Neodiprion lecontei: one gene and its partners. The protein of the gene in region 3 interacts with the protein of the main gene of each other region in a biochemical or structural test. Links are inferred from orthologs where the notes say so. Each region holds a gene or a part of one and is shown on either strand. Other genes may lie near its edges.

The links.
Region 1: of the proteins of DNA replication licensing factor Mcm6 (region 3) and cell division cycle 7-related protein kinase, one has a biochemical effect on the other in vitro, tested with the Homo sapiens proteins (2 studies listed by BioGRID). The link is inferred for Neodiprion lecontei from reciprocal best matches to the Homo sapiens genes MCM6 and CDC7.
Region 2: the proteins of DNA replication licensing factor Mcm6 (region 3) and mini-chromosome maintenance complex-binding protein form a complex in vitro, tested with the Homo sapiens proteins (2 studies listed by BioGRID). The link is inferred for Neodiprion lecontei from reciprocal best matches to the Homo sapiens genes MCM6 and MCMBP.

Annotation. Positions count from the first base shown.
Region 1 is NC_060261.1:17,271,135-17,277,203, reverse strand, and holds cell division cycle 7-related protein kinase, read right to left. Parts: upstream 4,372-6,069; 5' UTR 4,155-4,371; coding exon 4,106-4,154; intron 3,991-4,105; coding exon 3,771-3,990; intron 3,692-3,770; coding exon 3,598-3,691; intron 3,491-3,597; coding exon 3,348-3,490; intron 3,188-3,347; coding exon 3,070-3,187; intron 2,296-3,069; coding exon 2,115-2,295; intron 2,017-2,114; coding exon 1,867-2,016; intron 1,737-1,866; coding exon 1,609-1,736; intron 1,493-1,608; coding exon 1,370-1,492; 3' UTR 532-1,369; downstream 1-531. Other genes in the region: protein unc-45 homolog B, read left to right, coding at 1-342; myb-binding protein 1A-like protein, read right to left, coding at 5,391-5,850, 6,011-6,069. UniProt on the Homo sapiens protein: Kinase involved in initiation of DNA replication. Phosphorylates critical substrates that regulate the G1/S phase transition and initiation of DNA replication, such as MCM proteins and CLASPIN.
Region 2 is NC_060263.1:15,366,702-15,373,086, forward strand, and holds mini-chromosome maintenance complex-binding protein, read left to right. Parts: upstream 1-1,905; 5' UTR 1,906-2,129; coding exon 2,130-2,136; intron 2,137-2,273; coding exon 2,274-2,548; intron 2,549-2,914; coding exon 2,915-3,232; intron 3,233-3,440; coding exon 3,441-3,769; intron 3,770-3,925; coding exon 3,926-4,105; intron 4,106-4,222; coding exon 4,223-4,466; intron 4,467-4,738; coding exon 4,739-4,915; intron 4,916-4,992; coding exon 4,993-5,178; 3' UTR 5,179-5,800; downstream 5,801-6,385. UniProt on the Homo sapiens protein: Associated component of the MCM complex that acts as a regulator of DNA replication.
Region 3 is NC_060260.1:9,286,199-9,293,511, reverse strand, and holds DNA replication licensing factor Mcm6, read right to left. Parts: upstream 5,465-7,313; 5' UTR 5,340-5,464; coding exon 5,248-5,339; intron 5,106-5,247; coding exon 4,962-5,105; intron 4,872-4,961; coding exon 4,607-4,871; intron 4,533-4,606; coding exon 4,330-4,532; intron 4,122-4,329; coding exon 3,920-4,121; intron 3,844-3,919; coding exon 3,313-3,843; intron 3,234-3,312; coding exon 2,928-3,233; intron 2,791-2,927; coding exon 2,433-2,790; intron 1,529-2,432; coding exon 1,391-1,528; intron 1,234-1,390; coding exon 1,094-1,233; intron 997-1,093; coding exon 877-996; 3' UTR 586-876; downstream 1-585. UniProt on the Homo sapiens protein: Acts as a component of the MCM2-7 complex (MCM complex) which is the replicative helicase essential for 'once per cell cycle' DNA replication initiation and elongation in eukaryotic cells.

The DNA of each region.
Region 1 (6,069 bases), on a different chromosome or scaffold from region 3:
AGCACCAAAGCTTGCGCTAAGATATTCGACTCGAAAAATTGGCTCGAGTCTATTCACTACCTTCTGGCTAATCCGAACAAGAGTATCCAGCACAGAGGCGTCGTTGTGGTGCTTAATATGATATCCAGCACCAAGGATGTCGCCGCTAAATTGATTGAGACTGACGTCATGGAGATTTTAATGGCGCTGACTAAAACCGAGGCCGTTGAGGACAAGACGATACGGGAATTAGCCGCTAAGGCTTTGGAAACTGCTGCCAAGTGGGAATTGATTAAGAAAAACATTGAAGACCTTCAAGGCGTTAGTAATATCAATCTGGATGATTCTGCCGCTGTCGAATAGTCTGCACTTTATACAAAGTCTTTGTGTTATAAGCTATTTTACACATGTTTCGTTACTTACCAGATCACGATTCATGATTACTTGCTAATCAGTCTTCAATTTGCCCAGATATTATCATTACGACACAAAAAAAGTTCCTGTATTTTGTTTTTCTATATCCATACATGCATTTGTTTTTATTTTCGTGGGAACTGTGTGACGTTTTCTTACATCAGAAATTATTTTAGTTATTATTGATATCACAACATTTTCATACATCATCATTCATTGTTCTGAAGATTCTAGATGAACGCACTCAAGTACTTAAAAATATTTTTGGCACTAGATAATGTTCAATCATTTTGATTTATACTTAAGAATTCTATAAGTTCATTCTTACTTACACTGTAACATAGTATTAATGCACTTGGATATTGGCAAGTTAAAATTTTGTAATTTAAATTGTTGGAAAAAATTTGTACAGTATTTATTTCGATAATATATTATAATAAAATATATTTATACCTACTACACGACTATTGTGTTTACCTGACGAAATTGAGTTATAGGAATTGTCGAAATATCAAAATTGATAGTACATTGCTAAATAATTTTCAACCATTCAATACATCTCTTTTATATACAAAAAGACAACTTTTGAAAAGTTGTTCTTTAAAATTACTAGCAAACTTGCATTTTAAATAAAATATATTAATTTTTATTTTAACGAACTTATGTATAGTTTTGATTTATATAGTACGCGACAGAAGTCAATACTTATATTAATAATAAATATAAAAATATTCTCTATATACATTATTTGAACAAACAAACACATCGTAATTGTATTGATGTTTTACAAGGCACGTATTATCAGATGAACTTTGCAGATCGTATAAATCACACTTCATCACTGTGATTCTCAGGCAACTAGAGACCAATTTTATACATTGTTGAAACGTATTACATGTTCGTTGTTTAAAATCAGGTAACAGTATTTGCAAGAATGAATTTCTGACGAGACACGTAAGTAATTAAATACAAATGGTTAGTCTGCGAGAAAAGTGTGATTTATCGCTTCTTCCGCAGTTATTCTTGTACAGTGATCTGGATCGAGCAGCCTAATTAATAAATCATATGCTGCCGAAGGATAGGCAGTATCAATTTTTTCCTTAAAATTAGAAAAAAAAAAAGAACTGTTAATAATGATATAAACAGAAAAAGAATGAAGCACATCGGCGTTAAATAAAGAAAGTGAAAATAATGAAAAATAACATTTGAAAATACCTGATTCTTGTTACTACAACTAGTGTTGGGATCCTCCTCTCGATGAAGGCTATTTCTCTTTTGTAATTTTTGACAAAGCAACTTAATATCAATTCCAGGTATGTTTTCGCTAAATGTAAGTTTTCTACCTGCATAAAAAAAAATTATTGTATTATAAATAAAAGTGCTATCCAGCTATTTGGTTCTGTGTTTAGTCGTTTTAGATCAAAGTATGATGTGAATTAATTAAACAGTAAAACGGAAAATAAAGCAAAGTACCCAATTTTTTGGCACATTGTTGCATTTTGGTCGAACCAAAGATTGTTGTTATCTCAGCCAAGGCTGTGCAGTCATCTGGCGAACGAAAAAAAGGGTGAGTTCCACTCAGGATGCAAAGCATTATGACACCGCTGGCCCAAATATCAATTGCTAAAAATAAGGTGTTTCATTTTTATTTTCGGTACTTGACTGACCAATTTTTAGAATCATGTCAAAGGATTGACGAAGGATGAATTGAATGTGTTCACCTGACGTTTGCGAAGGGAACTTGAGTAGCACCTCCGGTGCTCTAAATCCAGGCGTACCAGCACGAGGGGCAGTTTGAGCAGATTTTGATAGGCAGATAGAACATATTCGAGGTTTTCCATAGCATATGCATTGCACATCTATAGGCTTGCCAGTATTTTTTACAGGACCTGTCTCGTCATTCTGCCAATTAAGAAATAACTGATAATAATTGTCAAGATAATACAGAAATAACAAACAGGTTGAAGAGTTGAAAAAAAATTATTGATTTACAACTTCACTATGACTGAAGGTTTCGAGTTTTCAGAATGTGAGATTGGTTTTGCTTGATTACGGTTTACTGGATATTAAACTGTCCTAAAATTGTAACATAACGATTGTTCCTAAAAATGGATCGTTGCGTTAACATATCCAACTTGAATTTCATGATTTCTCAATACGTTTCGTATTAAAAATGAGATAGTCCTGCTGCCTGAATCAAAAGTTGGGAAAAGAAGGAAGAAAAAACCATCTAAAAAATTTCCAGCAATGTTATTCACGTGAATGATAATTAAGATGAATTAAACTATATCGGCACCATGTAGTTGAAAAAAATGTGGGCAAATTCGAATAACACACGACAAGATGTTGACAATGTGAGAAAAGGTTTAATAGTTGAAACGTTGAAAATGACTAGATCTTGGCGATTTTTGTCAGAATTTATGTATTGGCTCATTCATTCTGATTATAAAACCTTCTCTCAAATTGTTGGCGTCTAAGCTCAAGTAGGTTAAATTTGCTCAAATTCAGTTCTATCGCTTGGTAGGGGTGTCGTTTCATACGTGTAGACCATTACTGGGACAAATAACATTGTTAGAGGTTTTAACATGGATTTTTATCTTCTTCTAAATGTTGATTTACATGGTGACCCGTTCATGCTTAATTATACTGGCTTCAATCAAAAAAGTTCATTCCTACCACATCGTTTCTTTTTCTTTTTCCTGGCTGAGATTCAATGACACATGTTTCTGCCTGACTACTTGTGTTACTTTCAGTAGTATACTGCTGCGCTAGCCCAAAATCGACTAGTCGATACCTAAAATTTGATAACACAAGCTTGACATGTTGAGAACAATAGAACCGAGTTTTTGACCAGTTCTTACACACATCTTATGTACAGCAAATAAAAGCCACATAAATACCAGGAATTTTTAATGACTATATCACACACTTAGATGTTGAAATAAATAACTCACTGTTTCATAGCACGATTGTAGAGGAAATTACTAGGTTTTACATCCCGGTGTATAATATTAAACTTATGTACTCGCCGCAGGGCAACCAGCAGCGCTTTCATATAGTTTCTAGTCTCATCAACGGTCATGTCGTGAACATATTCCTAAAAATACTAACTCTCATTAAGTGAAACAACGTTATTAAAAGAGACCTATTTATACGTCATTTTCAAATCATAAGTTTATACTTGTTTGTATATAATTTACGTACAGCGAACCTATCATGCTTCATATACGGCATTACGAACACGATGCATTCTGCACTCCGCAGACACAAGTCCAACTCAACAACATAATCGGTACCTCTGCAAAGAATTTCAGTGTCATAGACATTTTGAAAGAAAAGCAGGCGATCGATATAGCAGGAAATAGAAACAGGTGTACCCTATGTCCTGCAAACATTGTAGCTCACGTTCAATTCTCCTCGGATGACACGTAGGCACAAGATGTTTGATGGCAAATTTACGCTGGTTTGTGGATGTCTTTAAAGTGGCTAAAAACACAGAGCTGAATGTCCCTTTCCCGATTTTACCGTGTATGTGAAACAAGTTTCCCAGAACAGGCAGCTTTCGAATGAGATATGAAATTTTGTCTTTCTCGTTTTCTAGAGTTGGAAAGAGAAATTCATTTGCTTAAGATCCATCACTGAAACTACGTTTACACGTAATACTTGTATGGTTAAAGGCAAACAAATAATTAAGACAATTTTGATGCACCACCTTCATCAACGTTGTTACCAGAATTATTAACCGAAGATACTATATTCATGGTCAAAATTTCGCACAAGAATTCAGTGTCCCGACAACTACACAGACTACTTTTTTAGGGAAAAATTCCATCTGAAAAGTAACGATCAACCAAGATTTAATGCTACAAGGATTCTCTTCGCATATTGGCGCCAATCTTAAGCTACCTGATGGAATAGAACTGCGACTTTCATGGAATAATCGACACATTTGAGTACATGTGTTCAGAAATCCGCGACCTCCGAAAAGTTTAATTAACATCGTAGTATACCCGTGTTCATAGTCTCTCCTTATCTCAAGGATGAAGGACGCCTTGATGAAGGCTCCATGAATCTCAGAGGGGTCCTCGTTTCATAGTCACAACTTGGCTCTCCCTTCCAGAAGGAAGACATACTTAGGGATATGTGATTGCTTATGGTGGTGAATCTGCTGATCGAAGCGCCATTCGGCTATATTTAAATCTAACTTAAACCGCTTGGCTCTCATTGTCAAGTTGCGTCGGTTGATGAACCTCCGTGAAGTTGGAGAAAATATGGGGGCCAACTTCACACCCAAAATTAAAATCAATTTTCCGGAAAAACTACTAACTCTCAAACGATTTTTCTTTACTCTCAAACCCTCTCAAACGATTCTCAAACGAATTGCATTAATTAGATTTAAAAATAACAACTTCGGGGGGCCAACTTCACGGAGGTGGTTGATGAGAATGTATAACCCACTGATATATATATATCAGTGATATGCTCTAAGGGTTCGACTACTTCTAGATTGCAGCGCTTCAACTTTAGCGGGACATTTCTGAAACTGACTTGCCACCACCATGGGAGTTTTCGTACCTGTCGTATCTGTGAATACGGCTGAGCTGGTGAGAAAGAGATGGATGCGGAGTAAGTAAGGAATGCTGAAAAGTTCTGTTACGAATTATCTATGCGTTGGAAGTCAAACCAGAAACAATTTTGTAACTCCAATACGCCGACAGGTCAAATTAGGAATGCTACTACAATTTTAATTACACTGTATATTTTTAAACAATACATAAAAATGTACAACATCGGGAAAAATGTTAGCCGATTATTATTACTCCGCTTGAACGTTTCAACAGGTTCAATGTGACAAAGATGTACTTCATGAGTCCCGTAAATGATTACCTTAAGCGCGCACAGCGTCATAAATTAAATTGAGCACAAGACTTATGCGTGTGCTGTAACTCTTAATTGTATAAAAAAATATCAATATTTATTTTATCTATTCAGAGATGTCATTTTTTTTTTTTACTAGTTTTGAAGGGTATATTTTGCGATTCTGAAGCCGACCTTTTCTTAGGTGAAACTCTTTTCCCAGATTGTAAGTCTGTACTATTTTGTAACATGTTTATCGCCAGAACTTCACAGTTTCGCGACGATTCACCATCCGCGGTAATTTCCATGTCTACATCGTTGATATAATGTACAGGTACTGCACTAAAATCAACTGAACTGAATCCATCTGACATAGCTTTCATTCGGAGTTCACGCGTAACTTTTTTTAGCTGCTGTATATCTTTCTGTTTGCTTTTATTCTTCTGTTTCTTCTTGTTCAGCTTCTTTGTCTGTTTATCTCTCTCCTTAGAATCTTCACTAGACTTGTCATCATCTGTTGATCCAGTTTCGACATTATGCCCATTACTTTCTGCATGTTCGCAACTTTCTATTTTTTCCTCTTTCTTTTGGTTTTGTATACTGAAAATTGAAAATACATGTAATAATAGCTAATAGTGATGAATCGAATGAATAAAATAAAGACCGTGAGCCTAATTTATTAGAGCGCAGAAAATCTTTTAGAATTACTGTTGAAAAGAATTAATTTGTGAATTGTAACATAGAACGTTCTGAAACTTACGTATTGACTTCAACGCCTAATTGATTGGCAAGTCGATTGTAAGCTCTTTTAGCGTCCTT
Region 2 (6,385 bases), on a different chromosome or scaffold from region 3:
AACCTTCATAACACTAGAATGAATGATCTGGCTTCTCTCCAATTTACTCGTTGTCAGCCCTTCGTCTAAAACAATTTTTTAATTGTTCGTTCGTTTTTTGACCACAATGAGAAAAATGTATCGAATTCGCGTTAATGAGGTTCGACCAACTATTAAGTAGCATTTTTTGTAGTTATTTTATACATTCGGGTGGTCCATATTTAGGGCTCGGACGAATTTTTCATCATTCGCCCTCCAAATCGGCTCGAAATAATTTAAAAGCAATTTCCTAATTTTTTCAGATTTTGATATCAACTCTAATCCCTGTTTGTAAGCGGGTGAATTTCCGTATTCATATACACGTGTTTTGACTATATTCTCAGTATATATTTTATTGCAAGAGTAATATTGGCATTGTCACTACTATCTGATACAAAATTCACATCATACCAGGCAATCTAGACGAATCTGACTTTTTTTGGCATTTAGTGAATGTGCAATTAAAGTTTATATCGGACAAGATTTGGAGTACCAGAATGTACCCAAACAAAATCTTCAGTCAACGCTAATGGTACTAGCAACGTAGCATCATAAACATATATGAATATTTAATACGTAAATAAATAATTTTGTAATAAAAAATTATTTTTGTATTATTTAATAGTCGATTGAACACTCTTAAAAGTTTCATAAGGATATGCTTTGTTTTGGCTAAGAAAAATACTCTGAAATTTCAGTGTTTTTTCGGTCTTTTAAGTGTATGTTAAGCCCTTTTTCGCGTTTGAGATACGTGGACTTTGATATTTTGAGATATATAAGTCAGCGTCGAAATCGACCAGGGAACCCCCCTCAGGCATGTCTTGTTACAAACATGGTTGACTTCGCTATATTTCCGCCGTTGACTCAGCTGTACGGGTCTGGCTACGACGATCAGTTTTAATTACGTGCCCAATGGGAATATTGCGATTTCCTAGAGTGACTATAGTAAATATTTAGTATCACAACAATTCAGGCAATGTTGCGTTTGCGATAAACACTCAGCTGGAAACGTATGTGTTCTGTAGCAATAAAGTGTTGCAGTAACCAAGATAGACAGAAAATATTGCTGACCGAACCAGAATTCTTGTTGAGTGGTGGAAACGCTTTTTTCAGTGTAAATATATTTTGAACTGCGAAATTTAGCAACCAATGGCAATTTTGACTTTGGTTTTTACATATTTTTCATTTTGTGGGTGTAGCAGGAACGTAGCAGGTTTGTCACGAGGCGCTAACTTGCATCAAGCTTCACGTAAGAGGAAATCTTGTTATCGTGGCTAGCAGAAATGGAACGTTGTACAAAATACCTAGTCGAGTTTTCTGGGGCTCCGATGATTAATTAGAAGATCGACAAGCTTCTATTCAAAGTGATAAACCGCTCTGCCGTTAATTAAACGCCCCCTCCTCTTAAGTCTGACGAAAATTTTTTATTGGATGTTCATTCTTCAGCTACTAAAAAAAAATAGTAAAGGTGATCGAGGCACAAAACAGGGTAATAAAATTGAAATTGAAGACCGGGCGGTTGAAGGAGGGAACTGATTGTAAGACACCAGAAAGTTTGAGTGCGAAATTGGATGCGACAAAGTATTAGAGAGTAAAAAAGCAGTGTTGAGGACAATTTTAGAAAATTCGAGACGCTAACTGCGACGCAGGTAGTCCGAACCAAGTTCGAACCACGTTCACAACTAGAAGTAGAACCAACGCCGCGCCCTCCGAACAAATTTTTGGAACTAATTTATTATTACAGAAACATGTCGGTATCGTATTCCCGAACGTCGTATCGTGGCATCAGTAGTGTTATTTATTGTCAGTAAAGAAAGTAAATGTGGACGGGTTACCGACATTCGTTCCCTGTCGAAAAATTAGTTCCAAAACTTCACTTTGTTCCAGAGGGCGACAGATCTCGGAGAATACACGAAACGTGAATATCGGGCTTTTTCCCCACAATTTGGCGCCAAAAGTAGTCAAGCACGACAAAGCACGGTGGACGGATTCTCAGCGGCCGACTTCATACAACAGCAAGCTGTAGCATTACGGCGATTATTATTATTTGTCCTCATTTATTCATCTGGAAACTTGAACGCATCGCATAGCATTCGATCGAAGAAGTCAGCATGACCGGTGAGTGTACTGCGCAAATTTTAGCGAATATTCTATCCTAACCCATTTATGTAAAACGGCGTCAATATCTCATGAGAATTGTACCGGTTTAACCCTCAGCTCACCGTCTGATCACTGTCTCATATTTTTCCCACCAGCAAATAACATCGTCGACTGGACCCCGGATTTTTTTTTGGCAAACGAAGCCAAATGTCGCCTTGTACTAAGTGAAACTGCTAATCGACTGTCGGTGCCATCCCTTAACTCCCTACCCTTACACTCGTTTAAGGATAAGCAATTGGCCAGGTTCCGAGGAATGATTCAGGACACTTACAACCCTGAGTACTACCTTGATCGATTTCAAATTCGCAATGTTGCCACTAATGAGACGACAACCTGCCGCGGGCGGTACAGAGATACATTGGACTCCTTGGTACGTATCAACGTCAGTTCTCCAAATCTCATGTGGCCTTGTGCGCTTTATAATCGGCGGAGATCTCATGTAACGTCATAGGTACCTGATATTTTCGTTGTGAATTAAAGCTTACCGTACTGTCAACGTCTTTGTTGGCCGAAATGGTAGTCAAAAGATGGCCTACAGTAAATGATGATTAGCAGTTACAGGTGCGAGCGGCTACAAGTGTTGTTCGCTTCGTGTATAATACTGCCTACAATGCAATACATTTTTTCTTAGTATTTTCAAAGCTGCCGTACACCATAGTAATGACAGTCACTTTGACGTGAACTGCACTGATTTGCATTCTCGTTGTATTCGTTCATTTGTTTGTTTCCTTACCAGCCAGGTGAAACTGTGATCGTTGACTCCAAAGAGAATGTCAATGCTGAACGGCAGACATGTTTTGTTATATCAGTTCCTGGCGTCAACAGTTGGGCAAAGGAAAAGTGTACAGTGCGCGAAAATGCACCTCAAGTCTCAACTAACACTGCCACCAAGCGTTCACTAGAATCTGAAGAAATGGAATGTGTAGAATTCAGTAGCAAAAAACACACACAAACAACCCCGAGCTCAGGTAATGGCGAACCACGCTTGCTGTCCAGAGAACATGCAATGAATTTCCCCCTTCCCAATGACGATGGTAAAGCCTGCATCGTGAAGGTGTGTCTGTATTGCAACGTCTACAATTAATTGTTCACTTTTGTTTATCTTTCGTGACAATTCAAGTTTGTAGAATTCACTCGAAAATCACTTTGAAATTCACGTTCTGTTTACTGTATGAAAGGTATTGGAGAGGCTGATTCGCTCTAGCTGAAAAGTTTATTTAGTTAGAATTTGAAATACCTATGCCGCTCTTTTAACTTTACAGATATATGATGAAACGTCGTTCAAATTGAACCAGATCATCGACATTGTAGGCTTCATATCCTTAGACCCAGCTTTGAGCGTTGCTCATGATCCAGACAAGTTGATGGATGACATCGAATTTCAGTCTCACAATCCACCCGTGTCGCTGATACCTCGATTGCACGCGATCGATGTCAAGGACGTGTCTATGGAGGAGGTTCCACAAACTATCCAAGGTGATTTAACCTTTCCCGTTACCACACGGAGTGACCTGAAGCTAGTGTTGAGTCAGATTCTATTTGGAGATGTCTTAGCGGCCGAATATGTCATATGCCACCTAATATCTTCCATGTAAGTTTTTGGCAATTTTTAGTTTCATATTAAAAATTACAGTTGTATCCTAAATTATCTTAGTTGTATATTTAAGATGTAAAATAGGTATTCTACTTTAGCCAGACGAACAGAAACCAAGCTGATGTCTTAGAACACCACTATTTATTTTCACAGCTATTTGAGACGGGACTTTCTATCCCTTGGTGCGTTTCCATTGAACATAACGAATTTGCCTCTCGATAAGTGCAAGACTTTTCCAGAAGATTTTTATGGAATATTATCATTGTTGCTGCCGAAAAGTCACCTCATTGGCATGACTTTGGATGAACTTAACAACCTGAATCTGCAGCCCAAGTACGTGTACTTTCCCAATGAGAAATTATTTATTCATTTATTGATACTCAAATTACATCAAGAATTTTATATTGGACAATTTGGGATTAACCGGGCTCATTCTTCATGTTGTTTCAGAAAAGACTACGACTGCAACAGATTGACTAGCGGGGTGTTGCAGCTCAGCGATAATACGCATCTTGTATTAGATGAAACAAAGCTGACCGACGGTCAGGTTTCGGCAAACGGGAGGAAAAATTATGAAGCTTTCTCCACGTTGATTAATTCCCAGACGGTTACCTATGACTTCAAGTATTACACAATGGATTTTCCGGCTGACATACCCGTTCTGATACTGTCGGAATCAAAGTCTATGATTCCTGTAAGTTTCTTGACATTTCACACATCTCCACAGTCTCCAGAATATTCTTTTTTCGTTCAAGTGCCGATTGAGCAGCTGACTCAATGAATGATATTTAATTTGATTCTCAGAGGAAAGTCATATTTCTCGTAATGGTAAAAACAAAAATCTGCTTCGTACTTTCGTGTACGGTTGTTTTGCATGAACTTAACAGTTTCAGCTAGATACGAAGAATATTTAGTGCAATTTTCAGTTAACATCTTATTTTCTTTTTCCATCTTCACGAATTTCAGTGTTATAGGCAAATCGTGTTGGAAAAGAATTCAAACAGTGAGAATATCTATTCGGAAACCCTGGAAGCAGTCAGGCATTATTTGAGGGATGAAACCAGGATATATAACATTCGAAACTGGTTGAGGGTATCGAGGCGACGCGACATCGCAATCGAAACCGAGAATAGCATAGGAGACGTGAGTTTTGCACGGGATGTAGAGGATAAAAGAAATATTCCGATGAGTAAAACACATTTTTTCCCCTAATTTCGCAGGTAATCCAAAAGGATTTCGTTGAAATGCGTCAGTTGGACAAAAGTACATCAGCGGAGGATCTGCATTCGCTAATGGTTCTCGCTAGATTGATATCGATGTCGCACGGTATGGACAAATTGACCGTTGATTACTGGCACGAAGCCGTTAGAATGGAGAAGGAACGTAAACGCAGACTGCAGAGATAGCGCGTGCAGATGTGAAATGAGTCATCAGTTTTCCGAATATACTCGCGTATGAATTACACACAGCTTCCTAAATATGTATATGCCTTTTTTACAACTTCACCGAACCATCTCGGATTTGTTTTTTTTATTTTTATTTATTTCTCTTACCCAAACTAAATTCTGCCCTGTGTATACACAAACGGCGTTATAACGACTTCGAACCTCGAGGATCTTGGCTAGCGATCAAAAGCCATCAAGTTAATGATGGCTGGCAGGTAGATAAGCACTCTGTCTTGTCGACGTTAACAGCGAACAAACAGGATATCACACCTATCAATAAGTTATTCGTGGAGAGAAAATCCCCTGAAATGAATCAACAATATTATATGATTCAGTGGTGCAGAAGTGATATCTTCGATCCAAACGGTTCCCGTTGATACATACGGAGCTTGAACAAGCTAAAACTTGCGTAAGGCTACGACTGTGAGTAAAAAAAAGAAAAGAAATATTGTGAAATGTTTGACAGTCGAATTTGAAGATTGATTCTTATTTTTCATAATTCAAAATAACTGCAGGAATAGTTCAACTTTTACGTCATACTTATGTACGTATATCAGGCAATAAAGTTTGGATTCTTTATGTATCCATGTTTTAAAATTTCTTTTTCGATTCATTCTATCGAGGGGGAATTCGTAATGTAATTGAAATAAAGCGTGCTCGATTTTTCAGGCAAGTCCAGAACACATTGTACCCGGAAGCCGACAGAGAGTGATAGCGCGAACGTTCCGACAATGGAATTTAATGGAAATTTCAAATCCACGAGTAAACCGGACCAGGATGACCCGCGGGTCTCTCGGGGTAGGCTAATCTCTACGCTTAATATCCGCCTCGACGTCTTAACAACAACGAGCTCGTTGCCCTGATCAATTCCGCCTTTATGTCTTCGTCCTCCCCCGTATTCTCTATTAATCAACAAGTAATTGGTACTCTAGTCACGGAGGGACCCGTTCGATCTGATTGCTTCGAAATTAAAGGGATCGCCACCCCCGAGGCATATCGACAGACTCGCAATTAATGAACGCTCGGCTTTTCCTTCATTCCTTCAGTATTCGACAGTCGGCGCCTACGTCCGTCGCGCGCACAACGTCACACGATGCTCCCTCTCCTGGGACTCGGAGTGATCCTCTTCCGAACGAAATCTGCCTCTTGAAACGTGGCAAAGTATGCC
Region 3 (7,313 bases):
TCCAGACTAATCCACGTTGCTTGCGATTAGCCCAGTAAAGTTATATTCCTCCTACTGTCAAAACACGCGCTACGCGCGTATTTTAGTTATGCAAGTGGTGGCTGTCGATATCTTACGTAAATGCGTTTAAATACCCTACCACATTACACGATGAACTGAATACAAAGTTTTTTTTAAATATATGAACCGGCTTATGAAACTTTACTCCTTGCATACTTAAACACTCTGCGGAACTGAATTTAGATCATTCCGGTAAAGACGAAAAAATTAAGCGGTTGGTACTCAATAAATTTAAAATACACCGCAATATTTCTCGTAAACGAATATAAGCAGTTTCGTAGCCCTGAAATTTTGAATTAAACCTTTGTTCAGCCGGTTCAGCGCTCTTAACTCGCCCAGCAATTGGATCACCGTACACCGATTGTTTAGACTCATTGTCAGTATTAATACAGCTTCGCTAATTGGACGATAAAAACAATGCTCGTATGAAAACTGTAGGCAGGTCAAGGCTCTGATTTGTACGAGCATAATGTTTTAGTAGATTCGTTCGACTAGGATTAAATGTAATGAAGTACACACGATACATTTTGTAAAAAATCCGTTTTTGTAAATTTTTATAAATTGTATAAAAGATCAATAGTTGAACAATAGTGAATTGGGATGAATGTAAAACTACTGTAGTAGATGGAGATTATGATAGTTTGGAAATTTTTGAGTCGCACATTTTGTACATTTGTATTGCCGCTCAGAAGGCACGAAATCAAATACTTATTTGAACGACCATCACTTCTTGGTCTAGGAATACATAGCAATTTTAAGGTACGTTATGAAAGTTTGAATGCAGTCGCTTTTCTTGGCTATTACTGTGAATAAATATCAAGGGTCGAGAATATAATTTGGATGTACGACAAGCAAGGGATCTTCTTCCTCTTCTTCTTCACGGTGCTTGCCTCTAGATGCCAGATTCGCTGTCGTCAGAGGAATTATGATTTGGTCCTATAATATAAAGTTTTATTGTATCACATTAGTCATTGTTGTTTTTATTCTTTTTTTCCGTAGGCAGATACGCAATATGTGTAAAGAAGAAACATACATGATACATAAGCCGGTCGATAATTTTTTCAATGAGGCCTTTTCGCTCCAATAATTCATCTTCAGATTCAATTTGCTCTTGAACTTTATCGAGATACCAAGCAACCAATTCCGATTTCCTGATTCCCTCCTTGTCTCCATCTATATGGAAAAAAAGTTCAGTAGTATCATCCCTAGAAAGGTTTGAAATATCTTCGACATTTTTGACACTGCATACGAAAATAATTTTACAATTTTTTATCAACATTATTGTTGTTGCAATTGAGTAGCAAATGCTTCCTCAAAATAATGTACCAACCTTCACTTTCAATTCGATTCTCTTCTGTCCGCATATAGACGACCAACATATTTGAGAGATTTTTATACTCCTCAAAGGAAAGGGTCAGTTTCTTTTTAACAGGTTCTTGCGAAGGTTGTGAGATTCCCTTCGTGGTTTCTGGAATACAAAAATATTCAATCCAAATTTTGATAGCCTAATTGTTCTAACCATGCCTGCGATAACCAAATAATTGTGTAAAACAAAAATAGATGTCCGTAACTGGTTACAAGAATGGCGATAAAGAGTAATATAGGTATAAAGTGAAAAAAAAAAAAAATATATAAAACCCGTGAGATAGGTAAAATGCGCCTCTTCCGGAGAGATGAAATGAACTTAGGCTATCAGTTTTGGAGTACTTATGATAAGGTTGGGCCATATTAATGTCTTCCGATATCTTGGCATAAACTGTACATAACCCGAAAACTATCATTTTTACAGGGATGAGATGAAGTAGCTGAGTATATTTCAATATTAATATTTTAATACATTGATATCGAAATATACACAACTACTCGATTTGATCTAGTATATGATAAAATATTGATCGAGAAATATATTCAGCTAGACGATTTTAATCCATTTTAACTTATTTTTTTCGTGTGTTTTATTAACAAATGATTACCCTTTTTTGTCAAAAATCTGACGTCTTTTATTCATATACTCGCAAATCACGCAAAAATCATTATTTTTAAAATCCCATACCTATTTCTCTGGCTATAAAGGTGTAGATTTTTTATCATTTTCTTCCAGATTCAAATTTACACCACTCGCGAGAATGGCTTCAGTGTTGACATTTTTGAATATTTGTTGATAATAATTTTTTGTATTATATTTATGCCTAATAACTTCCTAAAATATTATGATCTTATTACCCTTTCTTCTATCCAAAAAAATGGCGAATTTTTTAGAGTTTTGCGGTGGTGTTACCCCTTAAGTACTCCAGAAATGTTAGCATAAGTTCATTTTAACATTCCAGAAAGGAAGCATTCCACCCATTTTGACAGGGGGTACCCAAATTTACCGGAATCATCGATGTTAGTAGCTTCACCATTATCCAAATCATTGAGTGCAGCCATTAGAGGAGGCGCGTCATCGATATCCATTCTCATACCATCTTGGCCATTTGGATAATTATTATCTTCATCAAGATCGACATCTGGTTGTTCGACTCTGATGATACTCTTGCTTAATAATCTTTTCGCTTCCTTCACGTGTCTCGTTGTGACTTCATCTCCACATTCCAGCTTTGCCAGTGCCTCTGATAACCGTACGAGACTTTCCAACTGACGCACAGTGACTCGCCAAGTAGATTTTCCTGAACTGCCCCCTTCTCTTTGTCGTAAGGTAGTATAGACCTCTATCAATAACTCTGCTGCTTCCTGTTAATTATTGAATAGCAAATTGTTAAATGTCCCAAAAATTTTTTTTTTACGATCATACGCATATATTGTGGCTAGAAAATAGCAACGAGTAACGAAAATGATATAACTCATATTTCGTAGTATCAACACATTACCTGATTGATAATCGGTTTGAAATGCTTTGCAAAATTAATATATCGCAAAATTTCCTCTTGAGTATAGATACATTCGATGGTAATCACATTGTTACTGTGCAGATCAATAATTTTTCTGGCTATAGCGTTATCAACAATTTCATTGCACTCGTCAATCAGAATAAAAAATAAATCGAAACGAGACATTATAGGGGCTGTCAGATATACGTTCTGTTGTAAGGATTTCGACCTGTCGTAACGTCCACCAATTGGATTCGCTGCAGCCAAGATAGACGTTCGTGCATTCAACGTCGCTCTGACACCGGCCTATAGAAGTAAATTAAATCATAGTAAAAGACGTAAAAATAAATTAAGAATCGCAGATAAAAAGAAAACCATATTCTACCTTGGCTATCGATATTGTCTGTTGCTCCATGGCTTCGTGAATTGCGACTTGATCTCTAGGATCCATTTTGTCAAACTCATCGATGCAACAAATTCCATTATCCGCGAGCATCAAGGCTCCAGCTTCGATAACAAAGTCAGAGGACTCTTCATCCCTGACTACAGCAGCCGTCAAACCAGCGGCACTGGAAGCTTTTCCTGAGGTATAAATTGCTCTTGGTGAAAAATCCGCGACTTGTTTTAGAAATTGAGATTTTGCTGTGCTGGGATCGCCGACAATACAGCAGTTAATGTCTCCTCTCAGTGATGTTCCCTCTATCGTTGTCTTGGGAACTCCACCAAACAGCATTAAGGTAATTCCTTTTTTCACTTCATCGTTTCCATGGACGGATGGGAACAAACTAGATATTAGATTTTGGTAGAGATTCTTGTCTCGACTCATTTCATAAACTTTATTCCACTCTGCGTCAGACATTTGTCTCTTCATCATCTCCTGCGTGATTTCCTCCATTCCCATATCCGTTCCACCAAACTAGCAGCCGAATCAGTTTTAGATAGAAAAAATTCTTATACTTTTATTATCTGCATTCACAAAATTCAACACTTACTCGCGAAGTAGTAGACGTTATACTACAAGCCAGAAATGACATTCTATAAGTCAAATCTCTAACGCCTAGTGATTTCAGACCTCGCACTCCCTCGATTGAAGGATCTCCATGCTTATGTCTTGATCCAAATTCAGCCTTTGCTCCAGGTAGTGACAAAGCACCCACATCTGGCACAACTATAAGCGTGCCAGTGAAATCGTATCTGAATGCAAAAGTGAAAGTTATTCAATGTTGACTGGATCAAATCTTATTTCCATAACAAACTGAAATTCATCTACTAATACATCTCAAGTAATTATTATTATTGTTAATATGAACAGTTGAAATCCCAAACCAGTCCTTAGAATAGGTTGGTTTAACTTTAACACAAGAAAAATTTGTCAGAGTAAATTGCTATTAAGGAAACAGACCTGTCCCCAGGCTGCACCATTTCAACAGTTTCTGCTCGTAAGATGATTTCAAGGGATCGTGGGATGCAGCCCCTAGGCAGCTCTGCCTGGGTTTCCTGAATTCTAACTTTTTGAAAATCAATGAAGATCGAGTTGTCGACGTCGAGCAAAAAATTACGCCTATTGTTGCACACTGGATTGCGACAAATAGTAGGATTTGTAAACTGCGAAAAGTAACACATTAAGTAACGGTGCTTTTCAATTTACAACACAAGGCTAGTGTTCATTCCTCACTAACTTTAAACTGCTGCTCTACGTTCTTGATTACAGTATTACAATCCTGACAAACAAATGTCCCAAGAATCAACTCTGGATGAACAGGATGTGTCCTTACAACCTGACCAGATATACGTATTAAGGTGCCGATTTTCACTGCTGTCAATTCTCTTACTTTGTGCCTCGTCGGCACATCTATTAAACTAACATAGCATTCCTTATCTTTTGTCAAGTTACCTCTGTCTTTAACATAGTTGCAAACTGCCTGACAGAGGTATGGGTAAATTCTGTAAATACACACAACAACCGAGTTTAAAAAACTTTCAAGCTCTTAGGTATTGATACGTATGTAAAAATGCTTTACTCAGAATAGTTACCTGTAGTATTCTTCAATAATTGTTGTTGCGAGAGTTTGATTGTACCGTTCAATATCATCAAATGAAACTTCCAATGTGCTTCGTTCAGGACTGACAAGTTCTTTTGCTGGTTCCAAGTACTTGATTTCCCCATCTGCTTTGAATCTGTGGATCAAGTTAAAGGATAAAAATAAGCTGATTGAGACAGTTTGAGATATTGTCGTAACTAACGGTTCTTAAAATAATTCACTTCTCAAGTGTTCACCGGCTAATGTTTGTTTTGGTCAATTTATTTTAGGTTACTTACTCCTCGAGGAAATCCTGAAATAACTTTTGGCATTGTATTGCGACCTCATCCTTCACTCTCAACTGACCTACGAGCGCGTCAGCTACGTCCATGTTAAAAAATAATACTCAAATTTGTAAATTATCAATTATAAATGTATGAAAGCAAGTATTGTTATTAATTAACGGGCAAGTAAAATTGGCGGGAAATTGATACGCCACCATGGTGTATAGTGATGCTACATTTCACTAAAGTTCCTCATTTCACTTCTGCAACAGCCGTGTCATCTGGTGGGGAAATTGAAAATGTAGAGAATACAGTTCAAGCCCAAGATAACAATGAACTATGAACAATCTATCAGTATGCTGTTTGCACTCTGTGGTGGTGGATTGCCGGAGATGAGGGAAATCCAAATTTCGCAATAAAAACGTACTGCCTGATGAGAAAATTAATCCGAATTATCGATTCTATTGTTATGAATATGTGTCTGCGGATCGATCATTTTTATTTTATTATGTTTGAATTGTAACGCAATTTCAATATAAATCTATTGTGTGGTAGTGGGAAATATTTACTTTCGTGGAATGTGCGCTTAAAGTAGGGATTTTTTGAAGAGCGTAAAGTACCGCACGGACCGAAGGCGAGTGCGAAACTCACATGAGTCAAGAAGTCCCTATATGTGCACATATCGCAAATCCTATTTGTGGGGGACTTCCTCTGAAGAACTACAAAGTAGTCGATTTGTTGTCTTTCTAAAAAAAGGACTAGAATGGCTAACTGGCTAGGTCATCTAAATTTTGAAAAAATTTTTTAAAATTTTACGTGTAACTAAGAATGGATGTTAAATAAGAACAAAATAGATTAGACCGTCGATTTTTCATTCGTCTTGGTAGTAAAACTGAAAATTTTTGTGGACATAAAAATATTTTTAACTTCAGAAAATCAATTTTCCGTTCTAGCAACCACAAGCAATTAAAACCGATCAAATCATATTGGAGAAAACATTACGAATATATTCTATAACTGATTGTTTGTATTATTTATTGTCATTTTCTGGATCTGCAGTGATGAACTATTCCGGACATATTCCGGTTTACGAAGAACGCCGAGCGCTCGAGTTTTCCCGAAGTGGCACTTGATAATAGCGAACGATCGAACGTCAACAAGTTCGGACGTGCGTAATTCAACCCTGACGCGTTCAGTATTTTCAAATGCTTTAACTGTTAGTAAATTTAACGGTAGTGAAATTACCATTATGTAATCAATGCGATAATATTTGTATGTAAGTGATTGATCTCTTTAAAGTTTCCGAATATATACCTATAATCCACAAGTACCGAGTTTAACGAACGTTCATAGTGAGGTGTGCTCGAATAATATGGCAAGAAAATCTGCGTAAGATCTCTGACTGCAATGAGTGGAAATCTCACGAACAATCTGGAGTAGACGGGAATGCCAAGAGAGAACAAGTCTGGTTGGTACTACCTAATACGTAGAATATACCGTACACATAAGGAAATTGATTCTGCAAAAGCTACTTTTCGTCCGCAATCGATTACGATCGCAATGAATCAGAATTTCAGCCCATAGCGCGACGCCAATCAATTTCCGTATGTGTTCATCGTAAAACTGAATGAATCGAAACATGGGATGTATTAAAATAACAAATAGTGCATTAAAATCTTTTTGTTATTTATAATTGGAATAAGCACCAAAAATGGGTATATTAGAATGATTATTAAATGATTTTGGAATTTCATTTTAAAAATCTCTTGAACCCCCATTTCAGTGATATGTAAAACCAGAATTAACATTATACTATACACAAATAATGATTTGTGTATAGTAAAATGCACGAATGCCTTAACCTTTCAGCTAATTTGTTTTTGGCCCAAAACAAAAGCTGTCTGCGATTCTATACGAATTATGTGGCAATGCATCCCATTTTCTCACATCAGCTGCATCGCCAGTCTTTGTCACATAATTTGTATAAAATTGAACTCGCATTTTGTTTCGGACCGAAGACTGGTTAGCGAGAGGCTTAAGCGTTAATGATCGTTATTGTACGATACACATTTCACGTAACA